Linked DNA regions of Callithrix jacchus. The protein of the gene in region 3 purifies or fractionates together with the protein of the main gene of each other region. This does not show direct contact. Links are inferred from orthologs where the notes say so. Each region holds a gene or a part of one and is shown on either strand. Other genes may lie near its edges. The genes, in order: HBS1L, EXOSC10, EXOSC4 and DIS3L.

Evidence for each region.
Region 1: the proteins of EXOSC4 (region 3) and HBS1L purify together in Homo sapiens (affinity purification with mass spectrometry; 3 studies listed by BioGRID and IntAct, with this or other methods). This does not show direct contact. The link is inferred for Callithrix jacchus from reciprocal best matches to the Homo sapiens genes EXOSC4 and HBS1L.
Region 2: the proteins of EXOSC4 (region 3) and EXOSC10 purify together in Homo sapiens (affinity purification with mass spectrometry; 9 studies listed by BioGRID and IntAct, with this or other methods). This does not show direct contact. The link is inferred for Callithrix jacchus from reciprocal best matches to the Homo sapiens genes EXOSC4 and EXOSC10.
Region 4: the proteins of EXOSC4 (region 3) and DIS3L purify together in Homo sapiens (affinity purification with mass spectrometry; 5 studies listed by BioGRID and IntAct, with this or other methods). This does not show direct contact. The link is inferred for Callithrix jacchus from reciprocal best matches to the Homo sapiens genes EXOSC4 and DIS3L.

The regions. Positions count from the first base shown.
Region 1 is NC_133505.1:141,711,171-141,718,789, reverse strand, and holds part of HBS1L (HBS1-like protein), read left to right. Parts: intron 1-1,400; coding exon 1,401-1,663; intron 1,664-2,118; coding exon 2,119-2,284; intron 2,285-5,217; coding exon 5,218-5,335; intron 5,336-7,619. UniProt on the Homo sapiens protein: GTPase component of the Pelota-HBS1L complex, a complex that recognizes stalled ribosomes and triggers the No-Go Decay (NGD) pathway.
Region 2 is NC_133508.1:48,941,021-48,948,625, forward strand, and holds the end of EXOSC10 (exosome complex component 10), read right to left. Parts: exon of another isoform or gene 6,705-7,605; coding exon 6,631-6,704; intron 5,233-6,630; coding exon 5,061-5,232; intron 4,241-5,060; coding exon 4,179-4,240; intron 3,625-4,178; coding exon 3,548-3,624; intron 2,584-3,547; coding exon 2,553-2,583; 3' UTR 2,447-2,552; downstream 1-2,446. UniProt on the Homo sapiens protein: Catalytic component of the RNA exosome complex which has 3'->5' exoribonuclease activity and participates in a multitude of cellular RNA processing and degradation events.
Region 3 is NC_133517.1:53,540,760-53,548,981, forward strand, and holds EXOSC4 (exosome complex component RRP41), read right to left. Parts: upstream 4,333-8,222; 5' UTR 4,218-4,332; coding exon 4,047-4,217; intron 3,038-4,046; coding exon 2,831-3,037; intron 2,739-2,830; coding exon 2,412-2,738; coding exon of another isoform or gene 2,379-2,411; exon of another isoform or gene 2,336-2,378; intron 982-2,335; coding exon 844-981; 3' UTR 685-843; downstream 1-684. Other genes in the region: GPI-anchor transamidase component GPAA1, read right to left, coding at 261-334. UniProt on the Homo sapiens protein: Non-catalytic component of the RNA exosome complex which has 3'->5' exoribonuclease activity and participates in a multitude of cellular RNA processing and degradation events.
Region 4 is NC_133509.1:13,358,816-13,366,434, forward strand, and holds part of DIS3L (DIS3-like exonuclease 1), read left to right. Parts: intron 1-302; coding exon 303-479; intron 480-2,606; coding exon 2,607-2,685; intron 2,686-3,924; coding exon 3,925-4,104; intron 4,105-7,619. UniProt on the Homo sapiens protein: Catalytic component of the RNA exosome complex which has 3'->5' exoribonuclease activity and participates in a multitude of cellular RNA processing and degradation events.

The DNA.
Region 1 (7,619 bases), on a different chromosome or scaffold from region 3:
TCATCACAGTCTCTAGAATCCTTCCAGGAGTTCTTAAAGACAAGGGAAGTGAGTTGCTTTGAAGCCATTAATTTTCAAGTTCTAAAATTTTTCAGAATTTTCAGTTGTTCAATAAAGCTGTTACTTATAAATTATATGTATTTTGTCTGCCAAATTGATAAAGAAACATTGTTATCAAATATAAACAATAGGTTTTTACTATAAACAATAGATTTTTATATCCTTTTTTTTCTTTCTTTTCTCCCTTTTCCAAAATTATATTTTTTAAGAAACACAAACTCAGGAGCCTTATTTTTTTCCCTTACAATATTCTTTTATCTAAATTAGTGCGGTATCATGAGTTTTGGTTGGGAAGAATGTTAATCATCACCTAGTTCAATTTTTGGATTTTATAGATTTCAAAGTCAGTGAAGGAAAGGACTCCTTCTCTAAGACATAGTACACATTCAGTATACATTAATTGAATGATTGGATGAATGAAAAATTTAATTTAATTTTTATCACCTGTTAAAATAATTTAGAATTCTGATTCAGTCTCAAAAATCTTCATGTATGTCTTTTTTCCTTCTGAATTAGGATTGGGTTATCAGAATAATTGACCTTTTTTTCCTTAATCTTGAATGCCATTTAATTCTGTTATGGGATTTTTCCATCGAGGGAGAGAGAGGAAATACATAGAATACACAAGTTATTGTTCTAAGGATTTTATATTCTTTCAAGGAAAGAATAAGTTAAGCTGGATAGTCTTGTTTCTCCTTTACATATCTGAGTTCCTCACTAGATTGTAATCTTTTGGGAGTGGTAGTTAGCTTTTTCATTTCTATGTCATTTTCTTTTCAACATCAGTCCCTAGTATATGTTGTAGTTTTTAGTAAATCGGGTGTTTGTTGAATTAATTAATTAAAGCTCCACTGTCAAAAATGTTTATGAACTGTAGTCATTTAGAGATATCTCCCCTGAGGGGGATAATAAAAAGGATCATAAGTTTATCATGTTGGAAGGATGAGTTGGGGTAAAACTATATTTTAGTACTAATTCTACTCCAGTAATATATTTGGTGCCATTTTTACAAAATATCCCCTTTATACCATTGATTTTGATAGGATGGATTATATCGCCAAGGCTTAGATTTTGAATTTCAGTTATTTTTAAAGATATTTTCTTCATACCTTCATTTTTTGGTACACTGTTTTTCTCTTGGGATCTTCCACATCTGTATTTGTGTGGTTTGAGTCTAGCTACTTATCATTTCCACCTTAACAGACTCTAGCTACTTAGCAGAGATTATTTTTGGTCTGGAGTATAAAGAATTATGAAGAAACAGTTTTTCTGCCCTTCTGACATTATAGAACATCAGTCGAGTTGGTTTAAAATGCTTTTTTCCTGTCTGCCTTCTGTAGAGTAACTTCTGAAGAAAATGGTCATAGTTTCCACACACCTCAAAAGGGACCGCCCAGTGAAGATGTCAGCATTGCTGCTTCTGATGTTCTTGAGACTGCTTCTAAATCTGCTAATCCACCCCACATGATTCAAGCCTCAGAAGAGCAGAGTTTAGCCCCAGCATCAATGAGAAAGTCTGGCAAGCTGAGACAGCAAATAGATGTGAAGGTGGAACTGGAGAAGCGGCAAGGAGGGAAGCAGCTCCTCAACTTAGTGGTCATTGGTAATGCCCTTTGTCCCTCTGGATCGTCAGCCTCCATGCCTTACCCTGCCCACTGTCTTGTGGCCGCATGGAAATTCCGAGTTCTCGATAGGTGGAATGGACAGAAAGCGAGGAGGCACGGCCTCATAATGCTTTCTAGTCACCTGAGGAGAGAGAATGCCAAGTTACCGAAGAAGTCATTACACTTGGTTGTGGGATTTTTTGTTTTGTGAACATTTTGAAATTGGCATGTCTTGTTGACAATTTTAATTTCCAAAAATCTGAGAAACTTACCCCCTCTGTAAAGAGACTTGCTCTTTTTTTTTCTATTTAGATGTTTTAACTGTCATTTGATAAATACTGGCATTATTACTGTAAACCACTGACATGAAATAGTGAGTTATACATGTATGCAATGCCTCAGTGTGAACGTCTGGAAATGTACCTGGTATTAATCCTGAATCAATTTTCTTTAGGTCATGTTGATGCTGGGAAAAGTACTCTGATGGGCCATATGCTTTATCTTCTGGGTAATGTAAACAAAAGAACTATGCATAAGTATGAACAGGAGTCTAAAAAGGCTGGCAAAGCTTCGTTTGCATATGCATGGGTCTTGGATGAGACTGGCGAAGAAAGGGAAAGGTAGTCACTATATTTTGTAATTTTCAGTTTGAAGTCATATAGTCTTCTAAAATAAGTGTATAATATGTCTCAAATTTGTAAAACATATGAAATACGTTAGAGACTATTTTTAGAAAATAGCTTTTAAATATCAGGGAAAATCTACATACTGTTTTTACTCCTCGAAACTTTATGGAAATAGATTAAAAGAATGTTTGTCAGAAACAAAGTAAAACAAAAGCCATGCAGAAAAAAAAACAGTAAAAATCATAAGCTAATTATTCTATGGGATAAGTTTCAGTTGTTACTTCCTTAAGTACATGTCAAATTGTCTTGATTTTGAATTAAAAGTAAGACTTTTAATTTCATGTCAGCTTACAAAGGAAATGTAACTGTAGTAAAACCTCTTTTGTCTAGAATCTAAGTAACCAGCAAATTCAAATTACTAAATAATTCATTTTTATACTTTATATATTCTGTTTTTGTGAGACAGCAAACAAGTAATTCTGTAGCTATAATGCAGTCAGTTACTTATCTTTCTCTGTTACTGTGTTAAGTGCTAATTTTGGGGAGATTCTAATAGGAATATGCAGCTACTAATATACTCTGGCCAAAGAATAGTATTTCTTTTGAAGTATATTTAGAGTGACAGTATATATCATGCTAGGGTGGGAGAGCCAAAGGACACCTTGATAATGTCATGGCAGATATATCAACTGTGTCAAAATAATAACTATTTACAAACCAAGTCCTGTGAAAGTCTTAAATTAGCAAGGAGATTAAACTGTGTTCCCTGATGTCTTCAGTCTGATTATTGGAGAATGTATCTGGATATTCATGCCTTTTTAATATGTATTTTCTTGCAGTCTTGCATAGTATCCATTATAATATATGAGATAATGCTCTGTAGAGCAGGTCACAGTATTCCTTACCTCTTCTGGTAAACCAGAATTTGTATCATAATGTTTTCTCTTTCTTTGCGGGTGTCTTTAATTCTATATAGTATCACAGGCCTGTTTTCTATCCTAGTAAGAAAAATTAGCTGGACAGTTGCCAATTATGGAAAACAATGGAATTGTATATGATACAATATTAGAAGCCTAAATAATTTTCACCTGTCAGTTTAACAAGCACATTATTAAAGTATGTAGTTTTTTAGTTTTCTCTGCGTTATCTAATAAGTAGGTAAAGACATTGAGAACAGTATATTTAAGTTAGAATGGTTCACTTGAAGTTAACTAAGTTACCTAGTATCTTAGTTGAGCTGGCAAGTGAACTAATAATTGATTTGAATCCTACAATGGTCAGTCATTTTAGCTTTTTTGATAATGTTATCTATTGATTGGTTTTCATATTTTTGCTGCTGCTGGTTCTTTATTGCTCAGCATAAGTTTTAGAATATTTCTTCATTCCATAGACAGCAGATGCTTTCAGGTATATAATGGGAGTTTTAGCTCACCACCATATGTTCCTTAATAGCATTTACAAAATGTAATATGTTGCTTATCCCACCATGTTAAATATTTGTAAATCCCTTGTTCTTCTCAGATACTGAAGAACAGAAATGAGTAAATTTCATATCCTTTGGGTTGCAATGACATTTCATATCCTTAGGGTTACAAATTGAAATCAGAGCTGGGTCAGCAGAGTATACTCAGGTCAGTCTACAGAGGATCTCGGAGTAAGTCTTAGTTCGCCATTATTCTGAAGGTGCCCGTGGTGCTTGGATTATTGGGAATTATTAAAGAGAATTAAGCATCACTTTGTCAAACTTGGATGGCCCAGGCTTTCAGGTTAAACTCAAATGTCTTGACTAAGGAGACCCACAGTTACTTTATTGCTAGGGCAAACCTATAGTTTGTTATTCTAATTGTTGTACTCTTTTGGTAGTAAAAGGGAGTACTATTATTCATTACTTTGGATGATTCGGGGGCAGACCTCGTTTATTGCCTGCATGATTTCCCCATCTAAATGTCTGAGGCCTAGAATGACTGAGTGTCCCTGTAGACCTCCTTAGGCCTCTTATACAGGCTGAGGATCCCTAATCTGAAAATCTGAAATTCAAAATGCTCAAAAATCTGAAACATTTTGAGTGTTGGCATGACATCGCAAGTGGCACATTCTACATCTGATCTCATATGACAGGTCACACAAAACGACTAAAAATGTTGCATAAGAGTCCCTTCAGGCTATGTGTATAATGTGTATATGGAACATAAATGAATTTTGTGTTTAGACTTGGGTCCCATCCCTTAGATATCTCATTATGTATATGCAAATATTCCAAATCCAAACAAATGTGAAATTTGAAAAACTTCTAATCCCAAGCATTTCACTAATCTGAATCTATATTTTTTTGTGGCTGAAAAAGGCACTGTGTTGGTCTACAAGAAGAATTAAATAGGATAAAAAGCAGTCTGCTGTTCATGTCTCTCCGTTTCTTGAAAATTAAGCATCTGCTTTGATATCTTGTGTTTTCTAAATATGTAACATACTGACCAGCCTTGCAAATGAAAGTTTTAGAAGCTCATTTCTATAACTAGTGAAGCATAAGCATAGAACATGAAGAAAATTACCTCTTGGTAATGGTAATTTTTCATTTATCTTTTCTCATGTGCAGTATTTTTCCCCCATTTAGAGTTGTCCCCATATATGTTTCTTTGTTCACAGTTTACACTATTTCTTACAAAAAAAAATAAGGTAAGAGGGCATAACTATCATTTTTATTGAGCTCTTACTGCGAACACAACTTCATGTTGTTAAAGCCATATGAATGCACTTCTATGATACCAGACATTCCAGCCCTGATTGATAATTTAATTTTTCAAAAATAATGGTCTATAAATAAAATTTCCATTTTTACCTAAGAATTTAGATAATCATGTAGACTATTATTAATTTACTCTATAGCACTATTACATAGTACGTTCTAACCATTTTATGTTTTGTTTAAGGGGAGTAACCATGGATGTTGGTATGACCAAGTTTGAAACCACAACCAAAGTTATTACATTAATGGATGCTCCAGGCCATAAGGACTTCATTCCAAATATGATTACAGGAGCAGCCCAGGTAACTAATATTTTCTTCACAATAGTGTACTGACTGTACTTTATAAAATTTCCTAATGCTGAGGTTACAATTCTAGGATTTTAACTTTTAAAATATTTTAAAATGGAAAGTTTTAACCTTTATCAAGTTTGAACAAGAAAACAGCAATATTGTATTTTTCATGATCTTTTTACCTGTACTTTGTAAAATCTTGTTAAATTTCTTACAAAGAAACTATGTATAAAAGCTATGAATTTCTTTATTGTAAAAGGAATGGTAAAGGACTTGAGGTATAGCTTCATATTTCCTTTATTGATAAGTTGGCATGAATATTTCAAAATCTGCCTTATGTCTTTCGATATATTCAAGTCCTGTATCTTTTTAAAGAGCTTATTTATGCAGAAATAATGAAGCTTGGGTATTTTTACCCAGTGGTTTATTTACTTCCTTTAATAGTATTAAAAAGCATTACAATTTGTAAATTACATGATTCTTAGTAAGAATGCTACAAAAAATCAAATATAATTTGCAGTCATGCATCCTTTAATGATAAGGATATTTCTGAGAAATTAGTTGTTAGGCAGCTTCATTTGTGGACATATTAGTGTAATTTACACAAACCTGGATGGTAACATCTATTATACACCTAGACTATGTGGAGCCTGTAGCTTCAAGGCTGCAAACATGTTTAACATATTCCTGTATTGAATACTGTCAGCAGTTGTAGCACAGTGGTAATTGTGTATCTAAACTGATCTAAGCATATTATAGAAAAGGTACAGTAAAAATAGGGCATAAAAGATAAAAGATGATCCACCTGTATGGGGCATTTACCATGAATTGAGCTTGCAGGACTGGAAGTTGCTCTGGATGATTTGGTGAGTGAGCGGTGAGTGAATGTGAAGCCCTAGGACATTACTACACACTACTGTATACTTTACAAACACTGTACACTCAGGGGACACTAAATTTATTCAATAATATATTTTTCTTTCATAATAAATTAACCTTAGCTTACTGTAGCTTTTTTTACTTTATAAACTTTAAAATTTTTAAACTTTCTGACTCTTTTCTAACACTTAGCTTAAAGCAAAAACATATTGTATAGCTGTACAAAAATATTTTCTTTCTGTATAGCCTTATCCCGTAAGCTTTTTAAATTTTTTTTTTTTTTTTTACTTTTTAAACTTTTTTTTGGTGAAAAACAAAGACACAAATATGCACATTAGCCTAGGCCTACACAGGATCAGGATCATCAATATCACTGTCTTCCACCTCCACATCTTGTCCCACTGGAAGGTCTTCAGGGGCAATAACGTGCATGAAGCTGCCATCTCCTGTGATAACAATGCCTTCTTCTGGATACCTCCTGAAGGATCTGCTTGAGGCTGTTTTACAGTTAACTTATTTTTTAATAAATGCAAGGGATATATTTTAAAATAATTATAAAGTGAAAAATAGTACATAAACCACTATCATAGTTGTTATAAATTATTGTACATAATTGCATATGCGATATTCTTTTAAATAATTGGCAGCACAGTAGATTTGTTTATAGCAATATCATCACAGATACATGAGTAATACATGGTGCTATGACATTGTGGCAGCTATGACATCACTAGGCAATGGGAGTTTTTCAGCTCTATTATAATTTTAATGTGGGACTACCATCATATATGCGGTCCATGGTTGACCAAAACATTGTGCTGCATATCACAGTAACTCTAAATGATTAAAGCAATGAAAATAGCACTGTATATATAGGGCCTTGATTTCTTTCATAATGGATGATTACTTGAAAACAGGAAGAGTTCAAATAACTCGGTTCTGTAACACGGCAATAGTGTGACTTCAAGCAATTAACCATTTACTGGGTTCCACTCATTAAAAGAGTAATTTTTTGAGGCAGGATCTCACCCTGTAGCCCAGGCTGGAGTGCAGTGGCACAATCACCAGTCCCTGCATCTGCAGTCTCCCGGACTCAAGTGATCCTGTCACCCTAGCCTCCTGAGTAGCTGGGCCTGCAGGCCAGTGCCACCATGCCTGGCTAATTTTTAAATTTTTTGTAGAGATGGGATCTCATTGTATTGCCCAGGCTGGCCTTAAAATCCTGGGCTCAAGCAATGCTCCCACCTCAGCCTCCCAAACTGTTGGGATTACAGGTGTGAGCCACTGTGCCCAGCCAAAAAGAATTTTAAGATAAACATTTGTCAACCAAAAATGATATTGTATGACTATATTATAATATATATGAAGATAAATGAGAAATTATTTGATTCCATTTTAGAAAGCTGATATGTAA
Region 2 (7,605 bases), on a different chromosome or scaffold from region 3:
TTTTTGATCGCAGAGACTACCATTTTTTGGCAGTGACTGTTCTTTGTCCTTTAATGTCTGTTCGTACCACATTCTGCAATAATAGAACACTGGGCTTTTAGCTGGATACATGGATGACTGAAATAGTAACATTTCCTAGTATCCCTTGCTGTGGTCACCTGACTCAGTGCTGACCAACAGGAAGTAGAAATGAGCAGTATCTTATTCAAAGACTGGGTGCTCAGGCTGGGCACGGTGGCTTATGCCTGTAATCCCAGCACTTTGGGGGGCGGAGGCAGGTGGATCACGAGGTCAAGAGATCGAGACCATCCTGGTCAACATGGTGAAACCCTGTCTCTACTAAAAATACAAAAAATTAGTTGGGCATGGTGACGCAGGCCTGTAATCCCAGCTACTCAGGAGGCTGAGGCAGGAGAATTGCCTGAACCCAGGAGGTGGAGGTTGCGGTGAGCCGAGATCGCGCCATTGCACTCCAGCCTGGGTAACAAGAGCGAAACTCCATCTCAAAAAAAAAAAAAACAAAAAAACAAAAAAACCCCCAAAGACTGGGTGCTCTTCTTTCCTCCTTCCAGCTGACTGGAATGAGAATGTAATAGCTGGAGCAAGGGCAGTCACCCTGCACCATGAGGTGGCAGCCTTGTGTTTGAGCTGAGGATAGTAAAACAGGATAGCAGCCTGTGTTTGATGATCATGAGCATCATACTAGCTCTGGACCAACTATATTTAAAAAAGCGGAAAATCATCTCTCTTGTTAAGTTACTAATAGTTTGGCTTTTCTGTCACTTTCAACCAGTCCAGTCCTAGCTAATACAAACTCAAGCCTATCTTAGGACAGGGGTGTCCTGTCCTGTTCTGCTTGACTGAGAGCTCTCTGACAGCAGCGATTTGTGATTTAGCTTGGTACACCCCAAAGGGTATTATATACAGTTGGCAATCTCAATAATTTGTGGGATGGATTTCAAAGAAAAACGGTTCTTAGTTTAAGTATTTGTAAAAAAATAATGGCATTCTGTGCTTTCTTGATTTAACAGCCCATCTCAGGATTAAAATAACATGAAATTCCAAAGAAATAATCAGAGATTGGGTCACAGATTTATATAAGAAGTTCACTGCTGCATTATTAAGAATAGTACTGAAAATGAAAACCTAAATGTTTAACATAGGGGTTGACAAAAATAAATTTTACATTGAGAAAAGTCTCATAATATAAACTTTAAGGTGAAAAATAATAGAAACATAAAGTCGTTTGTAAATTTAAAAATACATCTATATACACACAGCAAAAGCTTATAAGGAAATAAAGCAAAATGTTAAAGATTATCTCATCCAGGTGTAGTGGCTCATGCCTGAAATCCCAACACTGGGAGGTCAAGACGTGAGGATCACTTGAGGCCAGGAGTTCAACACTGGCCTGGGCAACACAGCCAGAACCTGTCTCTAAAACATAAGAAAAACTACTCAGGTGTGGTGGCATGTGCCTGTTGTCTCAGCTGCGTGGGAGGCTGAGGTGGCAGGTTCACTTGAGCCTGAGAGGACAAGGCTGCAGTGAGCCGAGATCACAACACTGAACTCCAGACTGGGCAACAGTGAGACCCTGTCTCAAAAAAAGGAAAAAAAAAAAAAAAAAGAGCACCTTGGTGTGGTGGGACTATCGACGATTAAAATTTTCTCTTCGCATTTTCTTTGAGACGGAGCCTCACTTTGTCACCAGGCTGGAGTGCAGTGGCGCGATCTCGGCTTACTGCAACCCCTGCCTCCTGCGTTCAACGGATTCTCCTGCCCCAGCCTCCTAAGTAGCTGGGACTATAGGCACACACCACCATGCCCAGCTAATTTTTCTATTTTTAGTAGAGACGGGATTTCACCATGTTGACCAGGATGGTCTCGATTTCTTGACCTTGTGAACCACCCAACTTGGCCTCCCAAAGTGCTGGGATTACAGGAGTGAGCCACTGGGACTGGCCTTGCGATCTTCTGTATTTCCAACATTTCTTGCAATGAACATGTTGTTACTTCTATAATCAGAAAAGAAACAAAGTTGATTTAAAAAAAAAGGTGTGAAAGGAACAGACTAGAGAACAGGTCCTCAGGAGCCATGGCTGATGCTAGAGTACCTTACCAGTTCCTTTCCCAATGGCATTTTTTACCAGTTGGCTCCATTCACGATACCTGAAGGCTTGAGAAGGAAGTGAAACGGCCCAGAGAACCCCCTAAAAGTGGAGGCGGATGACCACCACACCCTGTGCTCTGCAGGTGCTGCCTGCTTCTGAGTCCCAGGAATTTGTCTCGTATTCCTCCTTGGGTGTGGCTCTGCATTCTCTGGAAGTCATGGTAACCCCAGGGCACTTACCTGCCCAGACACCTGAAGATGATTGCCTAAACAGGATGGGGATCTATCCTTCCTGACAGAGCTGTGGCGGCAGCAAAATAAAAATCAGGAATCAACTTTCTTCCAGGAAGAATTTTTTTTTAATGGTTTAAAAATACGTCTGTACAAAAGCAGCACCGACATCTGGTGCTTCTGCTCCGTGGGCGCCACGTGTCTTCCAGGACTATCTCTGTGGCCAGTTGTACCTGAAGCCTCTGCAGAGACAGTACAAAAAAAACAGTTATTTCTTCTGGGTTGGTTGGACGTTCTCAGATGGTTTACAAGATGGTGCAAACCTTAATCATGCAGAACGGGGGAGAATGGTTTGTTCAGGGGTCTCAGGGACCTCAGCGGCCCACCAGAGTTGGCTGAGCTGAGCAACATCTAAAGGACACAGACCTGTCCTTCCTGCCCTTGGGCAAGTCCCCTGAGCTCAGCATTGGCTTATTAGGATGTTATGCTTTTAACAAAAACATTTGGACGAGTGCAGTGGCTCATTCCTGTAATCCCAGTACTCTCGGAGGCTGAGGCGGGAGGATCAACTGAGGCCAGGAGTTTGAGACCAGCCCAGCCAACAAGGCAAAACCCCATCTCTACTAAAAATACAAAAACATTAGCCCGGCATGGTGGCAGGCACCTGAAATCCCAGCTGCTTGGGAGGCTGAGTTAAGAGACTTGCTTAAACCCAGGAGGCTACAACTGCACTCCAGCCAGGGAGACAGAGTGAGACTGCCACAAGAGAGACCAAACCACTCTTCAACAAGGATAACCCACACATGCTTACTTTTTCCTCATTCCTAACAGGCTGGTCCAGGAAAATTTCACAACTATTCATGTCTATTTTCACAGAGTGACTCCAGGAAACAGTAACTGGAGAGCCAGGCACAAGGGGAATCTGTGTCCTGGGGCGCAGTGCCTGCAGACGTGATGTGTAGCACAGAGCTAATCACCTCCTGCCCTTGTTATCGGAGTGTCGAGGGGGACCTGGCTGTGGGAGTTTCTCTGAGTCTTCCTGTTGAAGCCCCTGGGCAGTGGCTCCTCAACTGCTCCCCACCAACAGCACCATGCACGACAGGTGCTCTCTCACTGGGCAACCTGGGCTGTGCAGCTATCCAGCACCACACACAGCAGGTGCTCTCTCATTGGGCTCCCTGGGCCACGCAGCTGTCCACCACATACCTGTCTGATTTTCCAGTTGGAAAGGACATGCTTTTGTTTCCCAATGACTGTTTAATTTTTTTGGCTGCAATACATTTCTGAAAAGATAAGAAACATTGAAGCTGGGTGCCACCAGGACCATAAGACATGCAGAAAAACACGCCTGGGCTCAGGCAGCCAAAGATTCTAGCAGCAGAGGTGTGACTTTTGATTCCCGGCAAGAGGGACATTTCTGTGTTTCTGAAGGCAAGGCTGCTCAGATGTGCAGCAAGAGGAACAGGAGGGCCTCAAGCAGCCCTGCCTCCCACATGTGGAACCTGCGTCCACACTGTCTGCCTGCCAGCGGCACCAACACCCACGTGGGGCGAATGCAGGCTTGTGCTGGCCCCAAACGGGGTGCTTTTGGCCTGCAGCTATAGTTCCCATGGTAGGAAACACAAATAATACCTTTAAAACCACACAGCAGCTTTTACGACCTCATTTTATGAGTTGCTGGGGTAGTTGATGGGTATGTCTGCACTTGGGAAGAAATGAGGTGAGAAAAAAGATATGCAAAGAAATAGATTCCTAGATGGGCCTGTCTTCTCAGCAGGGGAAGAGATCAAAAATAGGTGCTACCGGTGTGCTCAAATCCTCCAGGAACAGTTCTTACCTTGCCAGACAGGGTCTGTTTGTTTGGATCAAACTGGGAAGAAGCTTTGGATTTGCTTATTCCTGCAGGGTAAGAGATGAGAGAGCCCTGCAGTCAGGTCAGTGGGTTACCACACATCACAGGCTCACAGCGAGGCTGGGACCACGACACTTGGGGAAGCCTTGGCTGTCAGAGCGCAACACCCATTACGATGAGGGGCTTGTGGCTCATGTAAATGAACACATGGTGATCCTGGTCCCTGCAGGCAGTCCGAAGACCATGCCTGCTTCTCTTGGCTCTAGTCCTAGGACGTTAGGGACAGGTGGCTAGAGCAGTGGCCCCTGCATGTAAGGAAATGCATTCTGATCTCTGTGCTGGGTGACACCATCAGGAACTTGGGCTCCGAGGCGACACTCCTGTATAAAGCAACATTGCATGTTGCTCTGGAAGCTGCTGGAGCCGGGAATGCCATCTGCAGCCCCTTCAAAGCAGGCGGACTCTTACAGCCCAAGCAGCCCTAGGGCTTCATGTCATAGGCATTGAGATTTTTCAACAAACAAAATCTTTACCATGTGTTTTGTGTGTGTGTGTGTGTGTGTGTTTTTCTGGGCACGAGTTACAGTGAGGAAGGATGGAGTGCTGGTCCCAATGGAAGTGACAGGTGATCTTGCTAACCCACCACAGAGGCCACCCTGACAGTGAGTTCCTGTGAAGGAGGTGGTGATGGGGCTGCAGGCATCTTTCCACATTGCCATGGCCCCTCTGGACCACTCCAATAATTCCTGGCTAATGCCACGCCCTGTGCAGGACTGACTCGGCCACTGTGTTGCGGTCTCTATACTCTGTGTCTCCTCCCACCTGATGCATGCAGATGTCCCTGTATGGGCCCCAGAACTTCCTCACCAGCAAAAGCCTTGAAGTCTGACTGGCTGTAGTCGTAAGGTGTAAAATCTTTTTCTGGTGGCCCTGGGTCCTTTGGCTTCTTGGAAATTTTGAGTCGTTTCTTCTCCTGTTTCTGTTCTGGGGTCCTTGGGTCACTTGTTGTTCGCTCTCTCTTCTTCGCAGCATTTTCTAGCTATAGACCAGGAACACATGTGGGTGAGGAATAGGGAGGCGCATGGGAGAGGGAACCCCCCTGGCCTCAGCAGTAGCCAGGACCCAGCTGCCTAAGTGGTTAGAAGAACAGTCAGTGGCTGGGCCCACGTATAGGCTCACACCTATAATCCCAGCACTTTGGGAGGCTGAGGTGGGTAGATCAAGAGGTCAAGAGATCGAGACCATCCCGGCCAATGTGGTGAAACCCCTTCTCTACTAAAAATACAAAAAATTAGCTAGGTGTGGTGGCGCATGCCTATGTCCCAGCTACTTAGAAGGCTGAGGCAGGAGAACTGCTTGAACCCAGGAGTCGGAGGTTGCAGTGAGCCGAGATTGTGCCACTGCAGTCTAGCCTGGCGACAGATAAAGACTTTGTCTTAAAAAAAAAAAAGAATAGTCAGTGGTGGGAGAAGAGTAGTGGCTGGACATCCAGACCAACACTCAGGGTTAGTTGAAACAAATTCCTCACTGGACAATGACATGAGGTCATTTAAGAAAGACAAGCAGGTCAGGTGCAGTGGCTCACGCCTATAATTCCAGTGCTTTGGGTGGCTGAGGTAGGAGGACTGCTTTAGGCCAGGAGTCTGAGACCAGCCTGGGCAACACAGCAAGACCTGTCTCTATAAAAAAATGAAGAAAAGCTAGCCAGGCAAGGTGGTGCATGCTTGTAGTTCTAGCTACCTGGGAGGCCAAGGTGGGAGGATTGCTTGAGCCCAGGAGTACAAGGCTGCAATAATCACACCACTGTACTCCCATGTCACTATTTTTAAAAAAAGTAAATGGAAAAAAAAAAAAAAAAAAGAAAGAAAGAAAAGGCAGGGGGCAGGGGTTAAGAATTTGAGTGACAGCCTGGGCAACACTGTGAGACCGTCTCCACCAAAAACAATAACAAAAGATAGCTGGGCATGGTGGTGTGTGCCCGTGGTCCTAGCTACTTAGGTGGCTGAGGTGGGAGGATCTTTGAGCTCAGGAGTTTGAGGCTGCAGTGAGCTATGACTGTGCCACTGCACTCCAGCCTGTGTAACAGAGGTAGACCCTACTTCAAAAAACAAAAAAAAAACAAACATTTTGTAGGGTAGAGCGGGACACACAGGCTTCAATGCTGTAACTTCAGTGCCTTTTCTACTACTACTATAGTTGAGTGGTCTGGCATATTTACCACAAACGCAGAGGAAGAAGGGTAACAGGAATTACAGTATCAGCACTGTGGAGGTTTTGGAAATGAGGTGGACCCTAATGGCTAAGCTAAGTGACCTGGAAAGAAGGCAGCACTTAATATAAAGCACAGGGCAAGCCCCTAAGACACCTGAGGAAGACCCTGTCCATAAGCAGGGGCATCGTTTCTCAAAGGAAAAAGGAGAGAAAAGCTGGCACGTACCGCGGCCTGCTGTCGGACGGAGATGGCCTGCTCTGCTACAGCCCCGCATGCTTCCTTCGCCTGCTCCCGGGCAGCTGTAAGGGACAGAACTGTCTCTGGAGTTGCTGAATCCAGCAACCACCCTCCTCCATCTCCATCCTCCTCCAACTCAGCCTAGCCACAGGGCTTGTCACAGCTGATCCCCCGTCCCTCTCAGCTCCCTGGTCCCCCAACCTCTACAGGACAGGCTGCCTGGGACTGAGGCTGCAGTGCTCTGCCCACCTTCACCTACACGTGAGCTGATCCTCCCCAGCCCTGCCTAATCCTCTCCTGTGAACCCGAATGCTCAGTGGCCTGTGGACCTGAGGGTGTTTAATAGGATCGTCTCCATTATGGACATGTCCACTCAAACCAGCTACTTTGGCTGCCAGCGACTCCAGCTTTCCAGCTGCTCAGGACAAAACCGTCACCCAAGGCTCACTCCTTTCTCTCACATGCCACATCCACCTCATCATCAAATGCTGTCAGCTTTGCTACAGGCCAGATCCAGGCTCTGACTGCTTCTCACCACCTCCCCTGCTCCCATGCTGGTCTCAAAGCCATCATCCCGTCACCTGGGTCACTGTCGCGTCTCCTACCCCTTCCCGGGCTCTTGTCCTTTCCTTTCTAGTCTACTCTCAACACAGTGGCCAGAGGGCCACAGCCCCCTCCTGGCTTCTGAACTCGGAGTAATAGGCAGTGTCATCCTGTGGGCCCCTGCTGGCTCCTTCCCCATCTCCTGCTCTTCTCCTGTTCTGCTCCTGTGGCCCACTTGCTGCTGCTGAGCATGCCCAGTGAACTACCCCAGGGCTTCTGGGCTCGCTGTGCTGTGGCTCCAGAACACTCTTCGCTAGGTTGCTCAGGTGTCTTCAGTGTCGCATTCATTAGACTGCCTTCTCCAGCCACCGTCAGGACATAGCTACAGCACCCCCAGCACTCTCCACAGTCAATCTACAC
Region 3 (8,222 bases):
GCACCGAAGCGTCAGTGGGTCCTGGGGCGCCGGCCCGAGCCAATCTCCGCACCCGGGGAAGACCGCGCGGGTCCGAGACTTAGACCCAGAGTCCGGCATCGGGACGCCGGACGGGAGAGCTGAGCCTGCGCCGGACACCCTCGGTGCTTCTAGGGGGCAGGAGCGGAGGGGCGCGAGCAGCCGGAGGGGTCCCGGCCCTCGATGGGGACCGCGCGAGTCCGGGGCCCGCGGGTCCCCGCCTCCCCGGACCCTGCCCTCACCACAGCGGCGCGTTGAGGCGCAGCACGAGGCGGGCGAGCGCGCGCCGGCGCACCGGGTCCGACAGGAGGCCCATGGCTGGGCAGGGCGGCGCGGCTACTAGCCCTCTCGCGCCTCCGACTGCCGCCGCGGCGCCCGTAGGCGACTCCTGTCAGACCCGGGGACGCGCGCTCGCCCGCACTTCCGGTCCCAGCGACGCCCGCGGCGGCGCGCATGCCCAGAGCACAGGGCGCGCCCCCAACGCTCTACGGCCGGCGCGCAAGCCCAGAGCAGCGGTCGGCCGGAGCATTGGCTGTGCTGGTGAAGGCGGGTTTCCGAGTTCGCTGGGCGCTGCCTCCAGGAGAGTCGGACCGGGAGTGCACCGACCCGGAGGCAGGCGGGTGGCCCTACGGCCGTGAAGAGCAGAGATGCCCGAGCTGGTCAGGGGACGGCTGGAAGGCCCGCAGGAGTCAGAGGCGATGAGCCGGGCAGGGGGTGGAAGGCCGGATGCCAAGCATGTTAGTGACTCAGGACGTCCCAGTGGAGTCACAGCGTGAGCCCAGCACCAAGGTTTCGAGTCAGATGACTGCAAAGATGCTGATGGCACTACTGGAGCTGGGGTGTGCGCAGCATAAAGTGGGGAGCATACCATCCCTGTCTGTGCCAGGAGACCCTTGGAATATTAGGGGAGAAGCAGCCCCAGGGTCCAGACTGCAGGAGCGGGTAGTCAGGGCTTGGCCAGATCTGTGGGTCAGAGGTGGATGAAGGCGGAGTTTGCTCAAGAAGAGGGTGCAGTTTGGGAAGCTGAGGTGGGAGGATCCCTTGAGACCAGCCTGGACAACAAAGTGAGACCTAGTCTCTACAAAAAAGCTTTTAAAACTAGCCAGGTGGAGTGGGGCATGCCTCTAGTCTCAGCTCAGTTACTCAGGAGGCTAAAGGGGGAGGATTGCTTGAGCCTGGGAGGTCGAGGCTGTAGTGAGCCGTGATCACACCACTGCACTCCAGCCTGAGTGACAGACCAAGACCATGTCTCAACAAACAAAAATGTGGTGGGCAGAAAGAGTCAAAGCTGAAGACTCCATATGAGAACAGGTTTTTTTGTGTGTGTGTAAGACAAAGTCTTGCTCTGTCACCCAGGCTGGAGTCCAGTGGTGCAACCTCTGGTGTGGGGTTTGGCCTCCCAGTTCAAGCAATTCTCTTGCCTCAGGCTCCCAAGTACCTGGGGCTACAGGTGCCCACTATCACACTAATTTTTATATCTTTGGTAGAGATGGGGTTTCACCATGTTGGCTAGGCTGGTCTCGAACTCCTGACCTCTACTGATCCATGAGAACACGTTTTTTGTACTTTTATTTTTTTAGATGGAGTCTTGCCCTATTGCCCAGGCTGGAGTGCAGTGGCACGATCTCGGCTCACTGCAACCTCCACTTCCCAGGTTCAAGAGATTTTCCTGCCTCTGCCTCCCAAGTAGCTGGGATTATACAGGTGTGTGTTACCACCTCAGCTAATTTTTGTATTTGCAGTAGAGATGGGATTTTGCCATGTTGGCCAGGCTAGTCTCAAATTCCTGACCTGAAGCAATCCATCTGCCTCAGCTTCCCAAAATTCTGGGATTACAGGTGTAAGCCACTATGCCTGGCTTTTGTACTTTTAGAGTCCAGGGTAAGCAGCAGGAAAAGCCCAAGGGGTTCCAAGCCATAGTCCACAGGCTGTGGGACATGGCTACCCACATCTCTAGGGTGGGTACCCAGAGCCAGCTGAGTTTTTCCTCAGCCCTTTGCTCAGGGCTCCCGATGTGCTGGAGTAAGAATAGATTCCTCAGTCTAATGGCCTGGCTCATCTTGCCAGGCCCTGCCTCTTACTCAGCTGCCTTGAGTCCTTACTGGGACATGCTGCTTTTTCCACCCAGGAACTATCTCTCCTCAACCCCCTAATCCACTGTTCTCTTCAGGGTTTCAATCAGGATATACAGAGATAGACAGTTCTCTATATAAGAGGGTCCCTGGTCATTCCCAGTAGCCAGTACCAGGCCAGGCTCTGCAGGGCTTCACATAGCTCCAAAGTGCTGTTGGGTGATCAAAGTACAGTGAGGAGTGTGTGGGCGGAGGAGGGTTTTATTCTGGACATGGGTGGCAGGGTGGTCAATCCCCCAGCAAGATAGAGGCCTCACGCACATGCTGCCGGACAACTCGGTCCAAGAGGATGTGCACATCTTGAGCAGCCTGGGCAGCAGCCTCCAACACCTGCTCCAGGTGGTCCTCATGCAGCCGGGCATCCATCTCAAGCAGCGCAATCTGGCCTGAAGCTGGCAGCAGGGCCAGGGCCAGCTGGGGGCCACCAGCTGCTTCCTCCACATGGCTGAGGTCTGCCAGGGCTGTGCCGTCCACGAAGCCAGCTGAGCACGCACACACAAAGTCTCTCATGGGTATGCCAGCATCCAGCACTGCCAGCGTGGCTGCATTCACACACGCTGCGTAAGTCCCACCATCTGCCTGTAGCACCTGCGAGGACCCCAGGGTGTCAGTTCATCAGACTCCCTCCTCAATCCCATCACACTCTTCCCTCCCTGGATTGCAGGCTGCAGCCGGCTCACCTGCACATAGATATCAATCTGGGAGCGTGGGTGCAGCTGTGTGAGGATGGCTGCTTCGAAAGTCTGGCGGAGTTGTAGGCCCATCTCACAGGACTTACGGTCCCCATGTGGCCGTCGCTTGCGCTCACCGGTGCTGAAGGTCGCTGAACTATATTGACAGTTCACTAGGGCCCTGTCTGGCAGGGCTCGAGCCCGCGAGCCCCGGATCTGGAAGAAGATGGACACATGAGCCAGGCCCACTTCTTCCAGCTCACACTCCACTGTACTCTGGGGGTCTGCCTCTCCTTTCACTTTCAAGGCCTCAGCAAGAGGCAACTACTTTACCTCCAAAACAAAGCCCCCTGTTTTGCTCGTTTTTCCTCCTGGCATGCATCTTTTAGTTGGCTGCTTTGTGTCCATCCTTGTCCCATTCCCTTCCAGCCCAAGTTTACAAACATCAAGGCTGATTCTATCTCACGTACACACTCAAATCCTAATTAACTTACGAAGGCGTTACATTACATGTGAAATAAAATCCCAAATCCTTTCCCTGGTCTACAAAATCCCAAGTCCTCACCTCCCCGGAAACACTCTACTTTAATTTGGAGTTACCCCCTTTCCCCACCAGCAGTCTTTCTGCTCTGCCTAAGTGCTATGCTTGTTTTCACCCCCGTGGTCTTCGCCCTCGTGCTTCCCTGCGCCTAGAAAGCAGAGCTCCCACAGCCATGCGCTAAGCACATTTTCAATACCTTTGCTGGCCAGGCACTGTTACAGCGCTGGGAACCGCAGTGAAACCATAGAGTTTCATGTAAAGTTCCTGTCTTTAGGAAGCTTATGTTCCAGCAAGGAAACAAAGGTGAACGTGCTTAAGCAAAACAGGCGTTTGAGATCGTAGGTGCACAAAAGACAAGGAAGGGTTTATTGTAGGGAGGGGAAGTACCGCGTGGATAAGGTTGTCTGGGGAGGAGTGACGTCGGAGTAGAGCTGAGAGGTGACGGGGCGAGTGGGGGAGCTGAAGAGCCGCAAAGAGAAGGGAGGGCGCAGGGACAAGCCGATGAGAAAGGCAGGACCACCGCTCAGTGCACTAAGGACTTGCGTTTACTCCGAGTGACATGCGGTGCTGAGCATCGGCTGTGTGGTCGGAGGCGCGCCGGCCGTTGCCCCTCAAGTCCCTGAGCCTGTGCTCAGCCCGGCTGCCCTGCGGCTCCGCGACCGCACGATTTCCCCTCCCACTCGCCTCGTGCGGGCCGTAGACCACCGCCAGCGCCTTGGTGTTGCCCTGCTCGATGTAGGCCGAGCCGTCAGCCTGCGCGAACACGCCCATCCGCGCCTGGATTTTGCGCAGCTCCCCGGCGCGCCGCCCGTCCACCCGGTAGCCCTGGTCCGATAAGAGCTCCAGCCCCGCCATTCCGCCCGGCCGCCAACTCCCTCTCGGCTTAGTTCTCTGAGCCGCTGGAGAACTGGAGAACTAGAGCTCCAGGCGGCTACGACTTCCCCGGATCTACGGTTTCCGGTGGTCCTCTGTCACTTCCGGGTCCGCGGAACTGCAACTCCCCGCGGCCCCGACTTCCCCGGATCTATGGTTTTCGGCGGTCCGTTGCCACTTCTGGTCCCGGGAAACTACAGCTAACCGCCGCCCCGAGGTCCCCGGATCTAAGATTTCCGGCGGTCCGTTGCCACTTCCGGTCCCGGGAAACTACAGCTACCCGCGGCCCCGACCTCCCAGGATCTACGGTTTTCGGCGGTCCGGCTCTGCTTCTGTCTCCGGGGAGCTGCAGCGGCTCTGTCGGGGAAGCGGGGGCTAGGCCCGCGGCCGTTCCCGGAGCTGTGCCACGGGTGCCAAGAAGTGGGCGCCCGCTGAAGGAGGAATTCCGAAGCCACGCCCTCGGGACCAATGGTGCCTGCATTATTCAGCCTTCCCCGCACTGTAAGTGTGAAAGTGGAAGGATGAACTTAGTGGTTGCAGCATTGACTGACAGGAGAAGAGAAGGCATTGAGGGGTCCTAGGAAGGTGACCGGGCTGGTGTCCCAGCATGGTCCACACCTGGCACCTCCATTCCTCCCTTGCCCTCCGTTACACCGAGCTCCCACACTGCAGTCAAGTGGGCCTCCCGTTTCCCTTTGAGGATGCTGATTCCTCATCCTTTCCAAAGAGGCGTTGTATGTCTGTTTATCTCTTGCCACCTAACCTCAGTGGCTTCGAATAACATGATTATTTTATGATGTTCTGCAGTCTGGTGTTACCTAGGCTCAGCTAGGTAGTTTGCATTTAGGATCTCTCCTGCAGTTCCTGCTAGATGGTGGCTGGGGCTGGAGCCATCCTCAAAGTTTTCTCCCTCATATCTTCGGTGACTGATGCTGGTGGCGGGCCAGGACCTCACGTGTGGCTGTTAGGCAGCACACCTACATGTGGCTTCTACATGCAACCGAGGCTTCCTTGCAGTATGGCAGTTGGGTTCCAAGGGTAGCCTTCCAAGACAACAAGGTGGGCGACGTGTGTGGTATTTTTATGACCTAGCTCAGAAGTCATATAGTGCCACTCTTGCCAGACTCTGGGGTCAAGTCAGTCAGACAAGTCTGCCCAGGCTTAAGGGATGGGGATCTATGACCGCCAAGGCAGGAGCGAAATACCTCAGCCTATTTCCATATAAATAATGAAGAAGAAAGTAACTAGAAATATAACCATAGTAGTTATTAGTTATTCATAGGTGATCTTAGTTATTTATAGGTGATCTTAATTCTTTTACTAATGCCTATCAGGTCGGAAGTGTGAACCTGGGGTGACATTGTGAAATGAATGACACTAAGGCAAGATGCTCTAAGCCCTCTGTCACGCCTAGGAAGGGCTGCTGGAGGGCACCTCGGCCGTGCGGCAGCTCCAGTGCTGTGAAAGCGCCCACTGTTTAGCCAGCTAGGGAAGGAGATGTCCAAGATGGCTGAGATGTCTCCTTCCTGGGGAAGTTAGGAGAAAACTCCACTTCTCCAAGCTCTTGTGGTAACGCCTGACAGTTGCCAGGAGGCCCACAGACATCAGGGGCTTAACTCTCTCTGTGTGATGCTGTGCTTCAGCGGTCACATACCAGGTCCACTCTCATGTTCTGCTTCTGCACCTGGCTTCTTTTTTTCTTAGGAAAGATAATCAGTAACAGTCATATAAATCTTAATGTTTTAGTTCTTTCTTGGTAAGTATGGAAAAGACGCTGATGAATTATGCTTCTTGCCTCACTTTGGGGGCCAGAAATTCCTGAGCCTCTACCTGAATGACACATGATGTACTTGACCCTATCACTGCCACGTACTATCCACCCTGCCCCCAGTCTCTGACCACCAAGGCCGCCACATCCTACCTACCTTGCCCCCAGATTTGCAACTCAATAAAAGTGAGAGTGTCCCGTCTGGCATTCGGGGCCACTGCTGGTCTCCACGACCTGGGTAGCAGTGGACCCCTGGGCCCAAACTCTCTTTTCTCTATCTCTGTGTCTTGTGTCTTTTATTTCTACAATTTCTTGTCTCCACACCAGCCAAGAGGGACTCACAGAACCCTGTAGGACTGGACCCTGCAGGGACCTGGACCCCACCCTTCAGTGGTATGAGTGTCAGCATGACACTAAGAAGAGCAGGTGAGCTAGGGCAATGCAGTCTGCTACAGGTGCCCAATTTCAGTAGTCACAGCATCCCCTCGAGGTGGTTCTGCTCTCCTGAAAGACAGAGGCATTCGAGTGAGTGAGTGAGTCACAGCCCTACTGCAGCTGGTCTGAGGCCATGATGGGTCACCATCCTCTGCCACTGGGCACCCCCGATTTCCCACCCTCTGCTCTGCAGACAGACACTGCTTACTGTGGAGCAGCCCAGGTGGTGCCACATCAGCCTACTATGCCATCCACCTCTTGGGTTCAAGTCTTTCTTGTATCTTAGCCTTCCAAGTAGCTGGGATTACAGGCACCTGCCACCATGCCTGGCTATTTTTTTTTTTTTTTTTTGAGTCGGAGTCTTGCTGTTACCCAGGCTGAAGTGCAGTGGCACCGTCTCAGCTCACTGCAACCTCCACTTCCTGGGCTCAAACAATGCTCCTACCTCAGCCTCCCAAGTAGCTGGGATTATAGGCAGTCACCACCATGCCCTGCTAGCCTTTTTCTTGTATTTTTAGTAGAGACGGGGTTTTACCATGCTGGTCTTGAACTCCTGACCTCAAGTTATCCACCTGCCTCAGCCTCCCACAGTGCTGGGATTACAAGTATGAGCCACTGTGCCCGGCCAATTTGATGTATTTTTAGCAGAGACGGGGTTTCGCCATGTTGACCAGGCTGGCCTCGAACTCCTAACCTCAGGTGATCCACCCACCTCGGCCTCACAGAGTGCTAGGATTACAGGTGTGAGCCACCACTCCCAGCCATGACTGGGTGGTTGTTGCGGCTGTCCATTGACAGTCCTTGCCACACGCAGGAAGACTAGACACCTAGGGAGTTCTGTCGGCTGCCCGGCCTAGTTGTGTAGCACTGGTGTTAGCGACTCAGGACAATGAGGACGTTGTCAGTCTTCAGCCTAAGAAGCCTAAAGTGGGCCAGTGAGAGCTGCTACTTCAAGATCAGTGGAACCTTTGCTGTGTTCCCTGGTGGAAGTGTTCACCTTCAGGAACTAGGGTCTCCAAACTGGCAGTATCCCAGGTTTAGAATCACGAGGCCACTCCGACCTCACACCTTTGGATCTCTGACCCGTGTACTCTAGCTTAGGGCACACACATGGGTTGATTCAAATTTCGGAGGCCTAAAGCTTATACGAACTCAGGGGCCGGGAGAAGTATCCCCAAGACATCTCTGGAGTCATTGATTTGCTAGAAGGACTCATAGGACTCACTATAGACTTGTCTTCATGAATCAGCAAAGGGAAAAAGTGCATGGGATGAACTGCAGGAAATCACGCGTGAGCTGGCCAAGTCCTCTCCTGGTGGACTCCACAGGAAGAAGCGGGGGCAGTGTGTGTGAAATGCTGTCTGCCAGGGAAGCTTCTTAGACATTCAGTGTCCTGGGGTTTTATGGAGGGCTGGTCACATACGCAGTCTGGGCCAAGCACACGCCCAAATTCCAGACTCCCAGAAGCAACACAGGTGTTCAGCATGAGCCGCGTTTGTGCAAATAGTCTAGGCACAGTGAAACACACTTACTAGAGGGTGAGGGGAACCATCCCATAGCCCAGGTTCCCAGACACCAACTCTCCAAGCTTGCCTGTGAAGAAGAGCTTCTCAGTCCTGCTGTTAACTCTTCTACACAGACTTCTTTTGAAACACAAAATTATGTATCTAAAAGTGAGTGAGAAAATATGTTCTGACACGTAACATTTTAAAAGTTGACAAATACCTCAAACATCACAGAATGCAGAAAACCTGCCTGACACAACTGATTCCAACAGGTTTCCC
Region 4 (7,619 bases), on a different chromosome or scaffold from region 3:
AGGCACCATGGTTCATGTCTGTAATCCCAGCACTTTTGGAGGCCAAGGCAGGCAGATCACGAGGTCAGGAGTAGGGGACCAGCCTGGCCAATGTGGTGAAACCCCATCTCTACTCTTGGCAGGCTCCAGGGTTAATGTGGTGGTAGAGAATGAACGGTGAGTGAAGCTCAGGAAGTTCTGCTCACTGAATACACCTTCAAAGCAGCAGGCCAGCAGTTCCTAGTCAGGAGTTTCTGTAGTAGTACCATGATGAAGAATCAGCACCTTCTGACCGTGTTTCTCTGTGCTTTTATTAAATACAGAATTACCTGGACAATTTCTGGCCTGATTTAAAAGCTGCCCGCGAACTTTGTGATTCTATCCTTCAGTCTCGACGGGAGAGAGAGAATGAGAGTCAGGAGAGCCATGGGAAGGAGTATCCAGAACATCTTCCCCTGGAAGTGTTGGAAGCTGGGATTAAATCTGGACGCTATATCCAGGTGAGGGTGCTAATTTAGAATGAGTCAGGGCTGGGAGTGGTGGCTCATGCCTATAATCCTAACACTCTGGCTAAGGCTGGTAGATCACTTGAGCCCAAGAGTTGGAGACTAGACTGGGTAACATAGTGAGACCCTGTCTCTACAAAAAGTTTTAAAATTAGCCAGGTGTAGTGGTATGCACCTATAGTCCCAGATTACTCGGGAGGCTGAGGCAGGAGGATCACTTCAACCTGGATGGTTGAGGGAGCCATGATTGTGCCACTGTACTCCAGCCTGGGCAACAGTGAGAACCTGTCTCAAGGAAAAAAAAAAAAAAAGAATTTGTCAGGACCAGCCAGTGTGTTTTCTTCTCTTTTTACTGTCTGCTGTCACAGGCCTCTGATTTCACAGACTGCAAACAAGATGGGCATGAGTCAGGGCTGTTGATGTTTCAGGTGACTTGGGAGTCATTCTTTCTGTGGACGCTGCTTGTCCAGCTTGAAGTCACCCTACGATGAAGTCCTCAATTCTGTTATATGTTGAGCATCACACAAGCAGAATGTGGAGGCAGCCTGGTAAATGCCTCCTGTCACTAGGAAAAAACACATCTTTTTCAGTCAAGGTCTGGAGGTTTGGCGATATTGTAAAATTGGTGACGTTTAGCTCCTTTCCTCCTTTGCCATTTTCTCTCTGCCCCTTTCAAGGGCCTCTCTCTGATCCTCCCAGGATCCTAACCCAAATGCTGTCAGGGTCTTGGGACGCAATCAGATACAATTTTTCTTCAGATTTCAAGTTTTATATACACTCATTTATGTGTGCATGTGTGTGTAGCCCTGTGCAGTTTTATCACATGCGTAGGTATGTGTATCCACCACCACAATCAAGATACAGAACGGTTCCTTCATGGATTTTACATTTCTAATGAGCAACTCAATAGATTGTCAGTCACAATCTAAGAACAGCACTCCAAAGCCCCTCCCTGAAAGTGTGGGGATTTTAAATGAGTATGCCTAGAGAGGCTAATGCTGCCAACTTGGTAGTAAAGTTTATAGCATTCCTGGGAGGAGATTTTAAGATAGAAGATTTTTAAAAGACTGCTCATCAGTTACATTAGATAGAGCCTGGTGCATTCAGCACTTTGTATAGCTAAGAGTAGTTCAAAATGATGGTATTTTTCTCTGGAGAAAATAAATCTTAGTGATTGATATTATTCCTAGCCAGGCATGGTGGCTCACGCCTGTAATCCCAGCACTTTGGAAGGCCGAGGTGGATCACAAGGTCAGGAGTTCAAGACCAGCCTGGCCAACATGGTGATACCCTGTCTCTATTAAAAGTACAAAAAATTAGCTGGGCATAGTGGTGCATGCTTGTAATTCCAGCTACTTGGGAGGCTGAGGCAGGAGAATTACTTGAACCCAGGAGGCAGCGGTTACAGTGAGCTGAGATGGTGACAGAGCAAGACTGTCTTGAAAATATATATTAGAAAAAAAAAAGGGCCAGGCGCGGTGGCACACACCTATAATCCCAGCACTTCGGGGAGGCCGAGGCAGGTGGATCATGAGATCAAGAGATCGAGACCATCCTGGTCAACAAGGTGAAACCCCGTCTCTACTAAAAATACAAAAATTAGCTGGGCATGGTGGTGTGCGCCTGTAGTCCCAGCTACTCGGGAGGCTGAGGCAGGAAAATTGTTTGAACCCAGGAGGCGGAGGTTGCGGTGAGCCGAGATTATGCCATTGCACTCCAGTCTGGGTAACAACGGCGAAACTCCGTCTCAAAAAAAAAAAAAAGATATATATTTTTTTCCTAAAGAATTATATATATATAATTTTATATATAAATAAATAATTATATATTTATATATAATTTTATATATAAATAAATAATTATATATTTATATATAATTTTATATATAAATAAATAATTATATATTTATATATAATTTTATATATAAATAAATAATTATATATTTATATATAATATGTATATAAATTATTTTATATATATATATAAAATTTCTAAAGGGATCACAAACCTTAAAAGAATATTATGGGGATGTTTTCACATCATTTTAAAAAACTGGACCTTTCGGAGATAAACCAGGCAGAAAAAAACATTTTTCACATTGATTTTTTATTTTTATTTTAGGGAATTCTGAATGTCAACAAACACAGAGCCCAAATGGAAGCTTTTGTTCGACTTCAAGGAGCCAGCAGCAAAGATTCAGGTTCAGTATAAACCTTACATAAATTTCCATACCACTCTTTTGTTCTGACATTATACAATGAAGAAAGCAAAGTTGAAATTGTCATGTCAGATGTGCCCTGTCCTGTATGCGTATATACACTGTGTATGTGGGATTATGGGGGGTTTTCCCCTAGTTGTTTTTTTTTTCCTATAATTTCTGATTTTATCATATTAAATTTAAACTACAATACAGAGAGGCAAAGTAATTTGCCCAGGGTCACACACCTGGTAAGTGGTGGAGCTGAACTTGTGGTGGTAGCCCAGGCAGTTTGGATGTGATTTTAAAATATTACTTTGTGCTGCTTCAATGCGATATATTACTTTAGTGGAATAATTTTTTTTAAGTAATAAAAATGAAAAAAATATGTAAATAAGTTGTATCATAATCAGGTGTCGTTCTTAGTTTTGTAATAACAGGGTGAGAAAGAAACCGTGCTAGTCAAAGGAGCATGGCTGGGTTGAGGGAGAATGAGCAGCTGGCTTTCTTTCTTTTTTTTTTTGAAGACAGTTTCGCTCTTGTTACCCAGGCTGGAGTGCAAGGGCGCGATCTCAGCTCACCGCAACCTCCACCTCCTGGGTTCAGGCAATTCTCCTGCCTCAGCCTCCCGAGTAGCTGGGATTACAGGCACGCGCCACTATGCCCAGCTAATTTTTTGTATGTTTAGTAGAGACGAGGTTTCACTATGTTGACCAGGATGGTCTCGATCTTTTGACCTTGTGATCAACCTGCCTCGGCCTCCCAAAGTGCTGGGATTACAGGCATGAGCCACTGTGCCCGGCGAGCAACTGGCTTCCTATGGGCCTTTGCTAGTCAGAATTCTCCCTGTCGGTTCTGCCTTATTTATAGTTCCTCAGCCCACTGACCACTCCCTTGGCTGTGTAGGATCCTGAAGGTATTGGGCAGAATTCCAGCATAGGCTCACATAATTGCATGCAGGGAACTAACACCTTTTTAAAAGGTGGTGAGGTAGGGGGGAGTGTTTTTTAAAGGATGATTGAGGGTGGCACTTAGGAAAGCTCATTATACAGTATGACACCGTGCCAGCAATTCTTCATTCCTAGCCTGCAGAACGAAAGAAGTTTGACTTTACCTTTGAAAGGAAGAAGCTTTATTTGCAGAAGTGCTGATTACACTTGGAATATATTATGCACTGAATGCCTCACTGGTGTGACATTCCCCTAGCTTTATGGATTTTTTTCTCTGCTGTCCCAAACACAGATTTAGTCAGTGACATCCTAATCCACGGGATGAAGGCTCGAAACCGCTCGATTCATGGGGATGTGGTAGTTGTGGAGCTGCTCCCTAAAAATGAATGGAAAGGAAGGACCACAGCCCTGTGTGAGAATGACAGTGACGACAAAGCCTGGGGCGAATCCCCAACTGAGCCCATGCCTACGGGTGAGCCCGCTGGAGAGCCACTCCGGTGTCCATTTTTCTTGTGGAATTATATTTTTCTTCTCTTTAGCAAGCCAGAAATACTGCCTTTATTTAATTCATTAATTAATTTAAATGGACAAATAAAAACTATGTATATTTATTGTATATCACATGATGTTTTGATGTAATACATTGGAGAATGGCTAGACTGAGCTAATTAACCTCTGTATTAACCTCACACACTGTGTGGTGAAAACACTTAAGATCTACTCTCTCAGTGATTTTCAAGAATACAGTACATTGTTATTTTTTTTTTTTTTTTTTTTTAATTTTTTATTAGATTTTAGGTTTTGGGGTACATGAGCAGAGCATGCAAGACAGTTGCGTAGGAACACACATGGCAGTGTGCTTTTCTTTCCTTCTCCCCTTCACCCACATTTGGCATTTCTCCCCAGGCTATCCCTCCCCACCTCCCCCTCCCACTGGCCCTCCCCTTTTCCCCCCAATAGACCCCAGTGTTTAGTATTCCCCTTTCTGTGTCCATGTGTTCTCATTTTTCATCACCCGCCTATGAGTGAGAATATGCGGTGTTTCATTTTCTGTTCTTGTGTCAGTTTGCTGAGGATGACGTTCTCCAGATTCATCCATGTCCCTACAAACGACACAAACTCATCATTTCTGATTGCTGCATAATATTCCATGGTGTATATGTGCCACATTTTTCCAATCCAGTCTATCATCAATGGGCATTTTGGTTGATTCCAGGTCTTTGCAATTGTAAACAGTGCTGCAATGAACATTCGTGTACATGTGTCCTTATAGTAGAACGATTTATAGTCTTTTGGATATATACCCAGTAATGGGATTGCTGGGTCAAATGGAATATCTATTTCTAAGGCCTTGAGGAATCGCCACACTGTCTTCCACAATGGTTGAACTAATTTACACTCCCACCAACAGTGTAAAAGTGTTCCTTTTTCTCCACATCCTCTCCAGCATCTGTTGTCTCCAGATTTTTTAATGATCGCCATTCTAACTGGCATGAGATGGTATCTCAATGTGGTTTTGATTTGCATCTCTCTGATGACCAGTGACGATGAGCATTTTTTCATATGATTGTTGGCCTCATATATGTCTTCTTTCGTAAAGTGTCTGTTCATATCCTTTGCCCACTTTTGAATGGGCTTGTTTGTTTTTTTCCTGTAAATCCGTTTGAGTTCTTTGTAAATTCTGGATATCAGCCCTTTGTCAGATGGGTAAACTGCAAAGATTTTTTCCCATTCTGTTGGTTGCCGATCCACTCTAGAGTACATTGTTACTAACTATAGTCACAGGTTGTAGAATAATAGTTTCTAACATGAGATATAGTCTCTGCCCCTCCATCAGTTTCGCCTCTCTGCAGGTTTATTTCATCTCATCAGCACCCAAACGTGCTGTAATGGCTTCCATCTTAAAATCAAACCAAAAATCCTCTCTGGGTCCCATGTCCCTTTGAGCTACCGCCTCTTATCATGAAAGTATGGTTAACTCCATGTTTTCTCTTCCTCCCTGCTGGTCTCTCACACCTGCCATTGCGACATCTCCCAACCCCTACTCTCCATTCAAATTGTTCTTTTCAAGGTCACCAGTGATCCCATTGCCAGAGCACTGGTCGGCCCCCATCAGCTGGAACGGTCAGCAGCATTTGGCTAGAGTGCTTCTGCCTTGCCTTGGACTTCTCTCAGTTCTCCCACCCACTGGCTGCTCTTCTCACATCCTCTCCTGGCTCTCCATCTCATTGTCCTCTTGGACGTGCAAGGGACCCATGTTGAATCCCCTGTTCTCTGCACTCCCTTCCCTCGGGGATCTCCTGCAGTCATTTGATTTTGTATCTCCAGCCCTTCTTCAGCTTCCGGTCTTGTGTACTCAGTGGTCTATTTGACATCTGCCCCTGGATGTCTAATGGCATCTCATACTTAACGTGTCCCATGCAGACTCCTGATTTTACCCCCAGACCTGCTCTTCCCAGTGTGTTCCCCAGTCTCAGTAAAGGTCAAATTCATCAACCCAAGACACCTTGGGGTTATCATTTCACTGATCAGCAAATGCTGGCAGCTCCAACTCTAATGCGTGGCCTGAATTCAGCCACCTGCCACACTTCCCCCACAGCTCTCCCACTTCAGTCCACTGTGACCTCAGGACTATCTCAGCAGCCTCCTGGCTGTTCTCCCTGCTCCTACCCTTCCCCCTCCTGGTGTAGTCTTTTCTCCACTCAGAGGCACAATGATCCTTGAGAAAGTGAGTTGGGGAGCCAGGTGTGGTGGCTCACACCTGTAATCCCAGCAGTTTGGGAGGCCGAGGTAGATGGATCACTTGAGGTCAGGAGTTGGAGACCATCCTGGCCAATATGGTGAAACCCTATCTCTACTAAAAATTAGCCAGGCGCAGTGACGCACGCCTGTAGTCCCAGCTACTCGAGAGGCTGAGGTGGGAGAATCACTTGAACCCAGGAGGCAGAGGTTGCAGTGAGCCGAGATGGCGCCGCTGAACTCCAGCCTGGGCAAGAGAGTGAGATTCTCTCTCAAAAAAAAGAAAAAAAAAGGAAAGCGAGAGTTGGCTCCTGTCATTTCTCTGCTCAAAACTCTTCAATGGCTGCTTCCTGCTTCACTCAGAATAAAATCCAAAGTCCTTACCGTGGCCTACAGGGTCCCCCCAGCTAAGGCCACCTTCTGCCATTTTCTCCTTTTTCCTTCTGCTTCAGCTGCACCTATGACTTGTTCTTTCCACCACCTGGATCCAGCTTTTCCCCAACACCCTCACATCTGTTTTCCTCACTTCACTGAAGTCACTTTATTTAAAGTTGCTGCCGCTTCTGACCCTCTGTCACTCTTGGTCACCTTACCCTACCTTGTTTCTTCTTAGCAACTGCCACAGCTTCACTTTTTTCGGTCTATTTTCTACCCCCACAGATACCCAAACTGATTTTATATAAACCGCATGAAATCAGGGACTTTGCATGTTATGATGCTGCTATATTCCCTATACCCAGAACAAAATCTTATACCTGGTTGGAGTTCAATATTTGTGGAAAAAAAGGAAAAAGATACCACTTTTAACGATTAAAGTTTGGTCTCAGCTTCAGTCAGTGATAATTGAAAATGTTGTGCATGAGTCTTATGATCTGTTTACTTTGCTATGGATAATGGGTCAAATGGTGAAGGCAAGAAAGACTGCAAATGCGCAGTGGAGGGCATGGTTTAAAACAAGGGTGAGAATCACTGACTTTTCCCAATATACTAAAATTTGAGACTGATAAGATAATGGCAAAAGAGAGAAAATGGGACGAGTGGATTATAAATGTTATCTCAGGCCCCATGGAAGAGACAGCATACTGACAATGTTATTTTAAAAGTTACCCATCGGCCAGGTGCGGTGGCTCAAGTCTGTAATCCCAGCACGTTGGGGGCGCCGAGGTGGGCTGATCACGAGGTCAAGAGATTGAGACCATCCTGGCCAACATGGTGAAACCCTTTCTCTACTAAAAATACAAAAAAAAT